Linked DNA regions of Cricetulus griseus. The protein of the gene in region 3 interacts with the protein of the main gene of each other region in a pairwise test. Links are inferred from orthologs where the notes say so. Each region holds a gene or a part of one and is shown on either strand. Other genes may lie near its edges.

What was found.
Region 1: the proteins of Wwp2 (region 3) and Fbxl18 interact in a two-hybrid assay, tested with the Homo sapiens proteins (3 studies listed by BioGRID and IntAct). The link is inferred for Cricetulus griseus from reciprocal best matches to the Homo sapiens genes WWP2 and FBXL18.
Region 2: the proteins of Wwp2 (region 3) and Fam189a2 interact in binary tests that used the Homo sapiens proteins (3 or more experiments, as listed by UniProt). The link is inferred for Cricetulus griseus from reciprocal best matches to the Homo sapiens genes WWP2 and ENTREP1.

The regions. Positions count from the first base shown.
Region 1 is NC_048597.1:79,449,807-79,453,445, reverse strand, and holds part of Fbxl18 (F-box/LRR-repeat protein 18), read left to right. Parts: coding exon 1-1,232; intron 1,233-3,639. UniProt on the Homo sapiens protein: Substrate-recognition component of the SCF (SKP1-CUL1-F-box protein)-type E3 ubiquitin ligase complex.
Region 2 is NC_048596.1:37,233,940-37,238,197, forward strand, and holds the start of Fam189a2 (protein FAM189A2), read left to right. Parts: upstream 1-1,409; coding exon 1,410-1,796; intron 1,797-4,258. UniProt on the Homo sapiens protein: Functions as an activator of the E3 ubiquitin protein ligase ITCH in the ubiquitination of the CXCL12-activated CXCR4 receptor. Thereby, triggers CXCR4 endocytosis and desensitization, negatively regulating the CXCL12/CXCR4 signaling pathway.
Region 3 is NC_048596.1:183,768,556-183,772,819, reverse strand, and holds the start of Wwp2 (NEDD4-like E3 ubiquitin-protein ligase WWP2), read right to left. Parts: upstream 2,802-4,264; 5' UTR 2,706-2,801; intron 1-2,705. UniProt on the Homo sapiens protein: E3 ubiquitin-protein ligase which accepts ubiquitin from an E2 ubiquitin-conjugating enzyme in the form of a thioester and then directly transfers the ubiquitin to targeted substrates.

The DNA.
Region 1 (3,639 bases), on a different chromosome or scaffold from region 3:
TCCTATGGTGTGGTGCCCTGCTGTGCCAGCCTGCAGAAGTTGCTGCTCTACTTTGAGATCCTGGACCGCACACGTGAGGGTGCTGTCCTCTCCGGCCAACTCATGGTGGGCCAGAGCAACGTGCCCCATTACCAGAACCTGCGTGTCTTCTATGCACGCCTGGCTCCTGGCTACATCAACCAGGAAGTGGTGCGACTCTACCTCGCCGTGCTCAGTGACCGCACGCCTGAGAACCTGCATGCCTTCCTCATTTCTGTCCCTGGCAGCTTCGCGGAGAGTGGGGCCACCAAGAACTTGCTGGACTCCATGGCCCGCAATGTGGCCTTGGATGCCCTGCAGCTGCCCAAGTCATGGCTGAACGGCTCCACCCTTCTCCAGCATATGAAATTCAACAATCCCTTCTACTTCAGCTTTAGCCGGTGTACACTGTCAGGTGGCCACCTGATCCAGCGGGTCATCAATGGGGGGAAGGACCTGCGCAGCCTGGCCAGCCTTAACCTCAGTGGCTGTGTGCATTGCCTGTCTGCAGACTCGTTGCTCCGTAAGGCAGAGGACGACATTGACAGCAGCATCCTGGAGACACTGGTAGAGTCCTGCTGTAATCTGCACCACCTCAATCTCTCAGCTGCCCACCACCACAGCTCTGATGGCCTGGGCCGCCACCTCTGCCAGCTCCTGGCCCGGCTCTGCCACCTGCGTTCCCTCTCGCTGCCTGTCTGCTCTGTGGCTGACTCAGCACCTAGGCCTGACCGCGCGCCTGCCCCGCCGGCCATGCATGCAGTGCCCCGTGGCTTTGGCAAGAAGGTGCGCATTGGGGTTCAGACCTGTCCCAACCCCTTCCTGGGCCAGTCGGCCCCCCAGCCTGCCTCTGTGTTCTGGTCTCTGCTGAAGAAGCTCCCTTATCTGGAGCACCTGGAACTGATCGGGTCCAATTTCTCCTCAGCCATGCCACGCAATGAGCCTGCCATTCGCAACTCACTCCCACCCTGCAGTCGGGCACAGAATGTTGGGGATTCAGAGGTGGCTGCCATTGGTCAGCTGGCCTTCCTGCGGCACCTGACACTAGCCCAACTTCCAGGCATGCTGACAGGCTCTGGACTAGTGAGCATTGGCCTACAGTGTCAGCAGCTGCAGTCTCTGTCGTTGGCCAACCTGGGCATGATGGGGAAGGTGGTGTACATGCCTGCTCTTGCTGACATGCTGAAGCACTGCAAGCGGCTGAAGGACCTGAGGTGAGGGTGTGAGAGCATGAGGTGAGGGACTGAAGTAAGAGAAAGGGAGCTGAGGTGTAAGGAAGGGGTCAATGACTTGACAAGAAAATCTGAGTAACTGAGCTGGGGGTATGAGGTGAGGGGGCTGAGGAGCTGAGGTGTGAGGGGCTGAGGAGCTGAGGTGTGAGGGGCTGAGGGCCTGAGGTGTGAAGAGCAGAAGACCTCAGGCTTCTATGGGGCTTCCAGGGTTTGCAGATGTAGTCTGCCTGTCAAGGTGGAGCTCAGAGCCAACACAGACCTGTCCTGGAGATCAAAGGCATGAGAGACCTTAGTGTCTGCAGGGGATGGCTTCAGGAAACTGGGGTCATAGTAGTTAAGCAAAGCCTTGGGAGGTGTGTGAGGCAGGGACTCTGGGGATCCTGAGCTTACTTAGCATTTCATCTTGTCATCACCACTTCTCACATTTACTTAGTTCTTGCTGCGTGCTCCACATAGTACTACCTCATTCACAGCCTGTGATCTTAAATTATTTTTATATTTATTTACCTTTATTTTTATATGTGTGTGTTTTGCCTGTATGCCTGTTTGTGGCACCACATGTGTACAGTGCCTGTGGAGGCCAGAAGAGGATGTCGGATCCCCTGGAACTGGAGTTACTGAAGGTTGTGAGCCACTGTGTGGGTGCTGGGAACCCAACCTGGGTCCTTTGGATCAGCAGCCAGTGCCCCTAACCATTGAGCCATCTCTCCAGTGCTGTGTCCCATTTTCCCTACCCTTATACCCCCATTTTTTGAGATGAGGTCTGTCTGGCTGGCCTGGAACTTACATAGACCAGGCTGGCCTTGAATTTCCAGATCCTCCTGTGTCTGCCTCCTGAGTTCTGGGATTAAAGGTGTACTCCACTATACCCAACCCCAAATTTTATTATTACTATTATTAGTGTGTGGTGTGTGGTGTGTGTGTGTGGGGGGGGATACATTGCCACAGTGCACATGTGGAGTACAGAAGACAACTTTTTGGAGCTGGTTCTGCCCTTCATCTTTGTGTGGGTTCTGAGGATGGAATGTAGGTCATTGAACTTTCACAGCAAGTGCTTTTACTGTCTGAGCCATCTTATTATTCAAAACCTTAATTCCTCAGAAAAGGTGTTTCCCTGAAACTCATCATTCTGGCTGGCCAGGGAATTCCTGGAGGGTTACAGACATGTGGCCTTCCTGGGTTTACATGGTTGCTGGGAATTGGAACTCAGTTTCTTTTCTTTTCCTTTTTTTTTTTTTGGTTTTTCGAGACAGGGTTTCTCTGTGTAGCTTTGGAGCCTGTCCTGGCACTCACTCTGGAGACCAGGCTGGCCTCAAAGTCAGAGATCTGCCTGCCTCTGCCTCCCAAGTGCTGGGATAAAAGGTGCCTGGCTACTCCTTGGATTTTTGAGATAGGTTCTGTCTAGCCCAAGATGGTCTCATAACTGATGGTCTCACTCCATCTGGAATTACAGAATGCACCCCCAGGAATGGTGAGGGCCTTTATTCCAAGGAAGCACTCTACCACTGATCTGTCTCCAGCTCTCACTTTACTTTGTTTTAAGCAAGTTGTTATTGTCATCCAGGAGGACCTTTAACTCCTGATCATTTCACCTCAACCTCCAGAGCATCGGGGACCACAGGTGTGTCCCATCATGCTCCCCCCAATTGTAAGCATTTCTTTTTCCCTTCTGGACAGAGTCTCATGTGTCCTGGGATGGCCTCCTACTTTCCGTGTAGCTGAGGATGACTGGGACATCTTATTGACCTGTCTCTGCCTCTCAAGTGCTGGGATTATCGTGGGCTCCACCACGGTGGACACACCGTGTAGTGAAGACCCTGGCTCTGGGCAGGCAAGGGGGCCAGTTCTTTTTTTTTTTTTTTTTTTTTTCCTTCGAGACAGGGTTTCCCTGTGGCTTTGGATGCTGTCCTGGAACTAGCTCTTGTAGACCAGGCTGGTCTCGAACTCACAGAGATCCTCCTACCTTTGCCTCCCGAGTGCTGGGATTAAAGGCGTGCACCACTACCACTTGGCTAGGGGGCCAGTTCTTAAGGATTCTGCCAGTCCAGAGCTGTTGGTGGACGGGTAGAGGCAACATTGGGGCCACAAAGTCAGGTCTTAGTCTAAAGGGACTTGTACATGGCTGTCACTCTCTAGTACAGTTACTGCTTCTTTGGTGCTTGTCTCAGGGTGACTATTGCAGTGATGAAACACCATGACCAAAAGCAACTTGAAGAGGAAAGGGTTATTTGGTTTATACTTCTAGATCCCTGCCAGGATGGGAACTCAAACAGGGCAGGAACCTGGAGGCAAGAGCTGATGCAGAGACTATAGAGGGCTGCTGCTTACTGGCTTGCTCAGTCTGCTTTCTTATAGAATCCAGGGCCACCAGCCCAGGAATGGCACCACC
Region 2 (4,258 bases), about 150 Mb from region 3:
AACACTCAGCAGACATACTATATTGCAAGGTGTCATCCAGCCTTAACAATTAAATACTTTTAAGCTTGTGTTTAAAATAAAAGTTATAACCACAGCACTGAAGAAACTTAATTCATCTTTACCTGCAATTTGAGAGCATCTATTGTAGGTTTTTTTTTTTTTTTTTTTGTACACAAGACATCAGACTTCCAGCATTTATTTACAAAAACATATACTTTCCCCTCCAAACCCTGAAGTTTATTCCTGGGAGCAGTCTGAAAGGAAATTCCAGGCACTATTAATCCCAGGCACAGGTGGTTTAATGATTTAAAGATTGTATGTAAACATATGAACACTGGTAATACATTACACGATATGAAGCAATGACAACATAAATACAGCCTTTACAATCAGAGCACTCAGAGAAACCTGCATTTCTCTTGTTCTAGTGAACAGGAGGGAATTAAATTCCCTCACCTTTCCAATAAGACAAGCTTTCAAATACTAGAACTGGCTGCAAACTGACACTGCTCTGGCTCGTACCTGGAAAAGAAGCCCATTATCAGCAGCTCACCTATGATACATTAGACGTCTAGACATTCTATTAGGGGAAACCATTGTGCAAAGACGAATAATTGCTTTTTCTTTAAAGTTCAATAGATGCATCACAAATTACTAAAGTAGATTACGATTTCATTAGACTATTTCCTGGGAAGTTTGGGATTCTGTGTTCTATCAGGTGATGCCAATTAGCTCCGGGTCAAAGCTAGAAGGATGGAGCCTGTGCCAACTGCACAGGGTCGCCCTGGCCTCTTCCATTGTGAATGCTGGGTAGTAACTCCCAAGGTAACTTTTGTCTTACTACTCTTGTTCCCACTCTGGTGCTGGGAAAGCACCTCGTCCTCTCCCCGCAGGGCTGCAGCGTCAGCGCCGGGAATCCTCCCGCGGAGGTCATAGATACAGGTCGCACTCCCAGGCAGTAACGTCCAGGGAAGCATCATCTTCCCGGGCTTGGACCTTTTCCCGTCGGGGTTGCCAGCAGCCCCTCCTCCTAGCAGGGGGAGGGGGAGAATCACTCGGGACTTCCTTCCCATTTAAAGGTCGTCAGGGTCTCCCACTTTCAGGACGGTCCTCCGAGGTACCCGGGTCTACAACGCTTCCCTTGGCGCCACTGTTGGGGACAGACTATGAACGGTGGGCCGTTTCCTGACGCCTTTCCCGTGTGACCCTGAAGCGGCGGTGCACTTGTCACTGTGGGTGACCGAGAGGGATCGGCGGGGGGCGGGCCCCGCGGGGCAGGTGGGCGCGGCCGGCGCGGGCCGCGGCAGCAAGTGGTTGGGCCGTGCGCAGTCCGTCCTGCTCGGCGCCGGCGCGGGTGCCCGGTGCGCCGCACCCTCCGCTCCGCTGAGCCACCCGCCCGCTGCGCGCCCATGTCTCTGCCCGTGGTGCTCCCGGGTTCCTGCTGCCCGGTGGCCGGGCTGTCGGGCGGACCTCAGGCCGGGGGTCCTGGAGTCGCGACCACCGCCGCCCAGGAGCCGCCACTGCCCCCGCTGCGGCCGCGCTGGCCCCGGGGCGCTCTGCAGCCTCCAGCTCGGCCCCGCTGCGCCCCCGCCGCTGTGCTGGCCCCGCCACCCGCGCTCGCGTCCCGCCGCCCCGCAGCGCCTGGCTCCGCGCTGCTGCCCGCGCGCCCACTGCTGTCGCTCGGGCTGTTGCAGCTGATCCTGGGCTGCTGCATGGTGGCGCTCAGCTTCGGGGCGCTGTCGTTGAGCAGTTCGCCTCAGGTGAAGAACTCGTGCCCCTTCTGGGCAGGTTCCTCGGTGAGTACTGGGTGCCTCTCTGTGGGGGTCCGCCTTCTGGGCAGTGGGTTGTGGAGGGTCCCTCCTGTGTTTTAATTTTGCCTCAGTTGGGGAGCTCAGACCCTCAAGCCACCTAAAGTGTTTGGCCACATTGAGTGGGGGAAAAGTGTTGGGAGGTAGTCAAGTTCAAGGGAGAATTGGATTGCACCCGGGCAGCGTCTGTTCTTACACGTTAAGGATTTTGTTTCCAGTCAAGTTAACATTAAGCACAATATTAAGTTCTTTGAGAGAGTGGCATGAGGATGGGAGAAAAATGATTTCAAACTTTGTTGGCCACTGTACTACACTGGCGAAGTAAATTCCTGCAGGGCAGGGATTTTGATGTGTTTTCCTCACCGATACACCAACAATACCCGTGCAGGGTGGGGTACTTTTGGAATGGACAAAGTGACAGATAGAAGAGGGGGGAGGAGGAGATTGATTTGTTTTTATTCTTCATTTAAACACGGATAAATGAGAGTGTATCTGGTGTTGGGTGACTGCACCCTGAGGAGCTCAGAGGTAATAAGAGGTTGTGTGTGACTGGTGGCTTGTACCTGGTCATTAGAGGAGGGTTCAAACCCTGGGTGGGTTCTTGGAGCCACTAAGGTTGCCCTGCAGAAGTGGGTGCTCAAGAAACAGAACCTGTCATTATGGATGCACTCAATAGAATTCCAGAAGTGTGGGGCAGCTAGCTGGGGATATCTGCCCTGCCCTGGCACCTTGACCAATGGGTTAGGGAAGCCTGCCTCTGAGAACAGTGGCTGCCAGTGAGCAAGCGTCTGTAGACCAGATGGGTACTCATTCCTGCCTCTTAACTGTGTCACAACTTTCAGGGCATCCAACCCCTTGAGGTTTGCCAGGGGCCAAGAGCCTTGGAAACAGGTCTTTGTGCAATGCTTGTGGAAGATGAGTAAAGCAAATGACCTCTCTATGAACTAATGCACTCTGAGAGCCTGGTAATGTCTATAGCTTTTTCTACCATCTGCTCTACATTTTGTGCTCTACTGGTCAAAGCATATCCAGAGTCAAGACCAAATGTAAATTTCAAAAATGTGGGAGAACTTATTGAACCTAGAGTAATGGTTTGAATAAGAACATGAAGAGCATAAGCTTTCTCTGGCCTAACTCAGAATTTTGTATCACCCAATGTCAATCTACTCTTTTATTTTTGTTTGTTTGCTTTTTGTTTCTCTCTCTCTCTCTCTCTCTCTCTCTCTCTCTCTCTCTCTCTCTCTCTTCCTGAGACAGGGTTTCTCTGTGTAGCTTTAGAGCCTATCCTGGCACTCGCTCTGGAGACCAGGTTGGCCTCGAACTCACAGAGATCCACCTGCCTCTGCCTCCCAAGTGCTGGGATTAAAGGCATGGGCCACCAATGCCCAGCTTTGTTTTTTGTTTTTCAAGACAGGGTTTCTCTGTGTATCCTGGCTGGTTGTCCTGGAACTCGCTCTGTAGACCAGGCTGGCCTTGAATTCACAGAGATCTGCCTTCTTCTGCCTCTGAAGCACTGGGATTAAAGATGCATGCCAGCACTGCCTGGCAATCTACTCATCTTTTTTCTTTCATATATCTGTATATATGAAACCTTCTATTTTTAAAATAATTTATTTAACTTTATTTTTATGTGCATTGACATGAAGGTGTCATATCTCCTGGAACTGGAGTTAGAGACTGTTGTGAGCTGCCACATGGGTGCTGGGAATTGAACCCTGGTCCTCTGGAAGAGCAGCCAGTGCTGTTAACCTCTGAGACATCTCTCTTTTAAACACCTTTGCTAAATGGTTGGGACCCCAGTCTTTTTGTGCTATAGTGAATGAAGTTCACAACTTATGTATTAGATTGACAGAATCCCACCCTGTAGTCCTGTCCCTGGACTCTGCTACTGTCTTGTGAGTGTTCTGGAAAACCTTGAAATATGGGTACTCTAAATAGAATAGGAATGAGAATAATACCCCCCCCCCCAGGCTACGCATCCAAATGGTGACTGCATTTCTTTCCGATAAGTACCCTGGACCAGAATCTTGTATGTATTTTATGGATTTATTCTTTGTAAAATCATAATTCAGCATTCTCTCAAGATAGTTTATTGAAAAGATTTGTGGGGGGCACTAGGGAGACAGTTCAGTCAGTAAAGCATGGGGACCTGAGTCTGGATCCCTAGAACCCACCTAAAAGCTGGGTGTGGGCAGAGGGGAGTCTGTAACCCCAGTGCCTGGGGTGGGCTTGGGAGAAGGTGAGCACAAGTGGATTCCTGAAGGTCATTGGTCAGTCAGCCTAGTCAAACTGATGAGACACCCAGTCTCAACAAATGAAATATGGTAGAAAGTGTACCTAGTGTCATTCTCTGCCACCACACACATGCAGGGATAGTAACAAGTACATACACCACACACATAACCTACACACACACACACACACACACACACACACACACACACACACAC
Region 3 (4,264 bases):
TTGTATCAAAAAGCCAAAAGCCACAGTGAGACCCTGTCTCAAAAAAGGAAAGGCTGAGCATAGTTTTGATTTAAATTTATTTTAATTTAACACAACTTTAATTCCAGCACTTGGGAGGCAGAGGCAGGTGGATCTTTGTGAGCTCTAGACCAGTCAGGACTACATAATAAAAATTTGTCTTAAATAAGGAAAGAAATAACCAAATATAAGAATAAATGAGAACCTGGTGTAAGTTTTTTGCAAGTGGGAAAGTAGTCATTAAATGAAAGACAGACCTGGTAGTGCAGTCCTGTAATTCCAGCTAACTCAAGAGACAGAGGCAGGAGGAGCACAAGTTCAAGGCTTTCCTGAGCTACAGGAGTTTGAGGCCACCCAGGGAAACTTACTGAGAGTCTGTCTCAAAAGAAAAAGAAAAAAACTTACAAAAAGAAGGGCTACAGCCAGGCATTGGTGGTGCACGTCTTTAATCCCAGCACTCGGGAGGCAGAGGCAGGCGGATCTCTGTGAGTTTGAGGCCAGCCTGGTCTCCGGAGCAAGTGCTAGGATGGGCTCCAAAGCTACACAGGAGTGGGGGAGAGGGGAAGGGCTACAGCTCCAACTCAGTGGTAAGGTGTAAAGTTCAATGACAAAAAAAAAAAAAAAAAAAAAAAAAAAAAAAAAAAAAAAAAAAAACAGTGAAAGAGAACGACAAGCCAATCCAAGCCTTTGGCCTCAGGCTCCTTGGTTTCCTAGGGACCAATAACACAGAACAAAACTAGCTTCACTGACCAGAAAAAGGACAGGAAACTTAAGTTCAAACCCCTTCTTCACCACATACAGCAGTGTGACCTTTAAAAACTCCCTTATTTCTCAAACACTGACCAAGTACTCACAACATACCAGGCATGAGGCTAGTAGCCAAGGAAGCCACATAAAATAGGATCACTGCCCTTGAATGATTTACAGTCTAGCAGGAAGATGAGTAAACAAGTCAAGTTGGGGCTAGAGAGATAGATCAACAGTTAAAGAGTATTTAGTGCTCTTCCACAGGACCAAAGTTTAGTTCCCAGAATGACAGGCCAGAGGCTTGGGGCTGGAGAGACAGCTCAGTGATTAAGAGCACTGGCTGCTCTTCCAGAGGGCCCAAATTCAATTCCCAGCACCCACATGGCAACTCACAACTGTCTGTAACTTCAGCTCCAGAGGATCCAACAGCCTCACATAGACATGAATGCAGACAAAATAAAATCTTTTTAAAAAGAAAGAAAGCGCAGAGGCTCACAACCACCTGTATCTCTGGCTTCAAGGGACCCAATGCTTTCTTCTGGCCTCTGTGGACACCCACACCCTACATATGACATACATACACAGACACGAACACACACACACATAATAAATAAAAATAAATATTTTTAAAGTCAACCCTCTTAGCTGTTTGTTCTCTGTGAAGTGGGGATTGATTTCTCATGACAGCTACAAAAATTAACTTTTGAATGTTTGTCATATACCCCAAAGTCTTCCACTCCTAATGTATTAATGCAAAGTTTTTGGTTTTTTTTTTTGCCCTAGTGACCTGTGATCCTGGCTCCTGTCAACGTCCCATTTGAACTCTAACTCCTTCACTGCATTCACAAAACCCATTTCACTTCTGCAAAGTTTAGTAAATGTGAAGGAAAAGAGGAGGGCTTGGTTGTTTGTTTAGGTCTTAACAGTGTAGCCCAGGCCGGCTTGGCCTGGAACTTGCAGCCATCTTCACGCCTCGGCCTGGAAGATGAACAATCTTAAGATGGGTATCTTAACCTCAAAAAAAAAAAAAAAAAAATGTGATCTAGGTCACAGTTCTAAGGAATACCACAGAAACTTCTCTGTCACCCCACCTAGTCACAGCTGGTCAAGATAAGAAGTCTCATGGAAAAGGAAACTGTGTAATTTAAGCCTAAGATGCATCGTCTAAAGCAGTATCGGTAGACTTTCTACTGTCCAAGAGTTAAGCAGTCAATGCGTTGCTGAGGTAACGCTGGCCCAAGCCGCTGACAACTGTGTAGGTTGAAAGTCATGTTATGATCCCAGTAAAGCACCCACACCGTCTTTATTTTATTTTTTTTTTCGAAGATCAGCCGATCCGGGAGCATCTCAAAGAAAGATGATCTGAAGGGCTAGGCTCCTAACAAGAGGGAACCCTAAGCAAACAGGGCAAAGTGGGTGTGACCACAGTCAGCCGATCAAGACTGAGGGATCCCTCCTGAAGTTTAAAAACTGAACCGGACCGAAATTAAAGTCTCAGGTCGCCATCATCTTCAAAGAGGATGGAAGGAAGAGACTCTCGGAATGGGGTCCAGGCCGCATCGTCCAGATTTTTTCTCCACGTCCCTACAAACCAGACGCCCACTCCCAGGCAGCCCCTTCTGGGGAGCTTGCTAGTCTCCCGGGCCGAGGTCCCGTCCCCTCCACAGACGCGGCTCCTGCGCACCGCAGGCGCCCAGGCAGGGGTCCCCTGCCGGAAGCGCCAGCAGCTGGCGACTCCCACCGGGCCCCGCGCCCACCCCGCTCGGGCGCAAGCCGGGACACCCCTCCTCGGAGGCCGGAACCGCGCGCCAGGCCCCTCCCACAGGAAGCCGCCGCCCCCGCGCCCGCCCCGCGCCGCCCCCAGCCCTCACGCCCCCGCCGCCCCCGGCCACCCCGCGCCGCCCGCTCGCCACCGAGCCCCCAGCGCCCGCGCCACCTACCTGCAGCGGCCACACCAGCGGCGCCTAACTCCGCTCCACTTCCGCCTTCCAGCGCCCGCACTCGGGCCGGGTCACGTGAGTGCGCGCGGTCACCTGACCCGGAAGAGGCTGGCCTGGGCGCGCAGGTGCGGACCACCTAGACCCAGCATGCGAGCTTTTGATTTACTGAGGTCCCGAGTGGCGAGGACCTCTTGCTCCTGAGTTGTGTTCGGGCAGACATACAAAATAGGGACTCGCCGGGCACCAGGGGCTTTATTTTATTCCTTTGGAAGTAGGTAGAGTTTCCCTCCATGAAACAGGTGGGAGAAGACCATCCGGTCAGTTAATTCAGCGAGTCTTTCGGGGATTACTGGAGAAAAAAACAGTATGCTAGCCGAGTGATAGTGGCGCTCCCCTTTAATACCAGCATTTGGGAGGCAGAGGCAGGCGGTTCTTCGTAAATTCAAGGCTAGCCTTGTCTACAGGGTGAATTCTAAAACAGCCATGACTACTACACAGAGAAACTCTGTCTCAAAAAACAAACAAACAAAAACTTGCTAACAAAAAAACAGTATGTTCCCCCCTTAAATTTGAATATCGGATAAACCTTGTAACTATAACCACGTCCGCAAATTTGGAAAGGGATGTATTGACACCACAAAGGTATACTGGTCAAACTTAAGCATCTTATGTATTGCTAATATTGGCAGCTTGTGCCAACTATATGCTAGGCCTTGTTTTCAGTTCTAGAAGTATAAATGCCCTGGCCTTTATAGAACATCTGTTCTTGTTCCAAGAAGCAAAAGTAGAAGGGGGTGGGGGTGAGGTCACACTTCAGAACTTCACCCAAGTCCGTAAGTGTCCCATGGGGAACCAACTCCCATTTCCTCCCTGTATGGAGTAAACTGAAAGTTTTGAATTAGCAAACGGCCTCTATGTAACCCTGACTGACCTGGAACTCAACCCTATCCTCAGCCTTCTTAATTCCTGGCATTGGGGGCACTGAGGGTTGGACCCAGAGCCCTGCTCATACTAGTCAGGGATCACTCCTACTGACCTATGTTGCCAGTCCTGTTGTTACCTTTCTAGTTTTTATTTGGAGCAGGGTCTTGCTTAAAGAGTTCTAATTGGCCTTGAACTTTTGATTCTCTGAGTAGTTAGGATTACCTTTTTGTGCCATGGGGGGGGGGGGGTCAGGAGACAGGTGGAGTCAGGGTTTCATGCACCCTAGGCTGGGACCCACCTCCCAGTTGATCAGATAACAGATATGTGCCACACCATCTGGCTTTCTGTTGGGTTTGGTTTTGGTTAACTGAAATTTTTAATTTTTCATTAGTATTTTATTATATGGATCTTTTTCCTGTGCATACACATCTGTGTACCACCTGGATGTTTGGTGCCTTTGTTGTGGGTTATCTACCAGAGAAAACTGCTCAGACATTCATCTAAGCCAATAGAAAGTCTTTATTAGCCAGCCGGCAACTACACTGGGTGTTAAGGATCAAGCAAGGTTAGTAAATTTAAAGACTTTCCCAGAACTATGGATCTTGATTAGATTAGGTCTTTATTTTCGCCTTGTT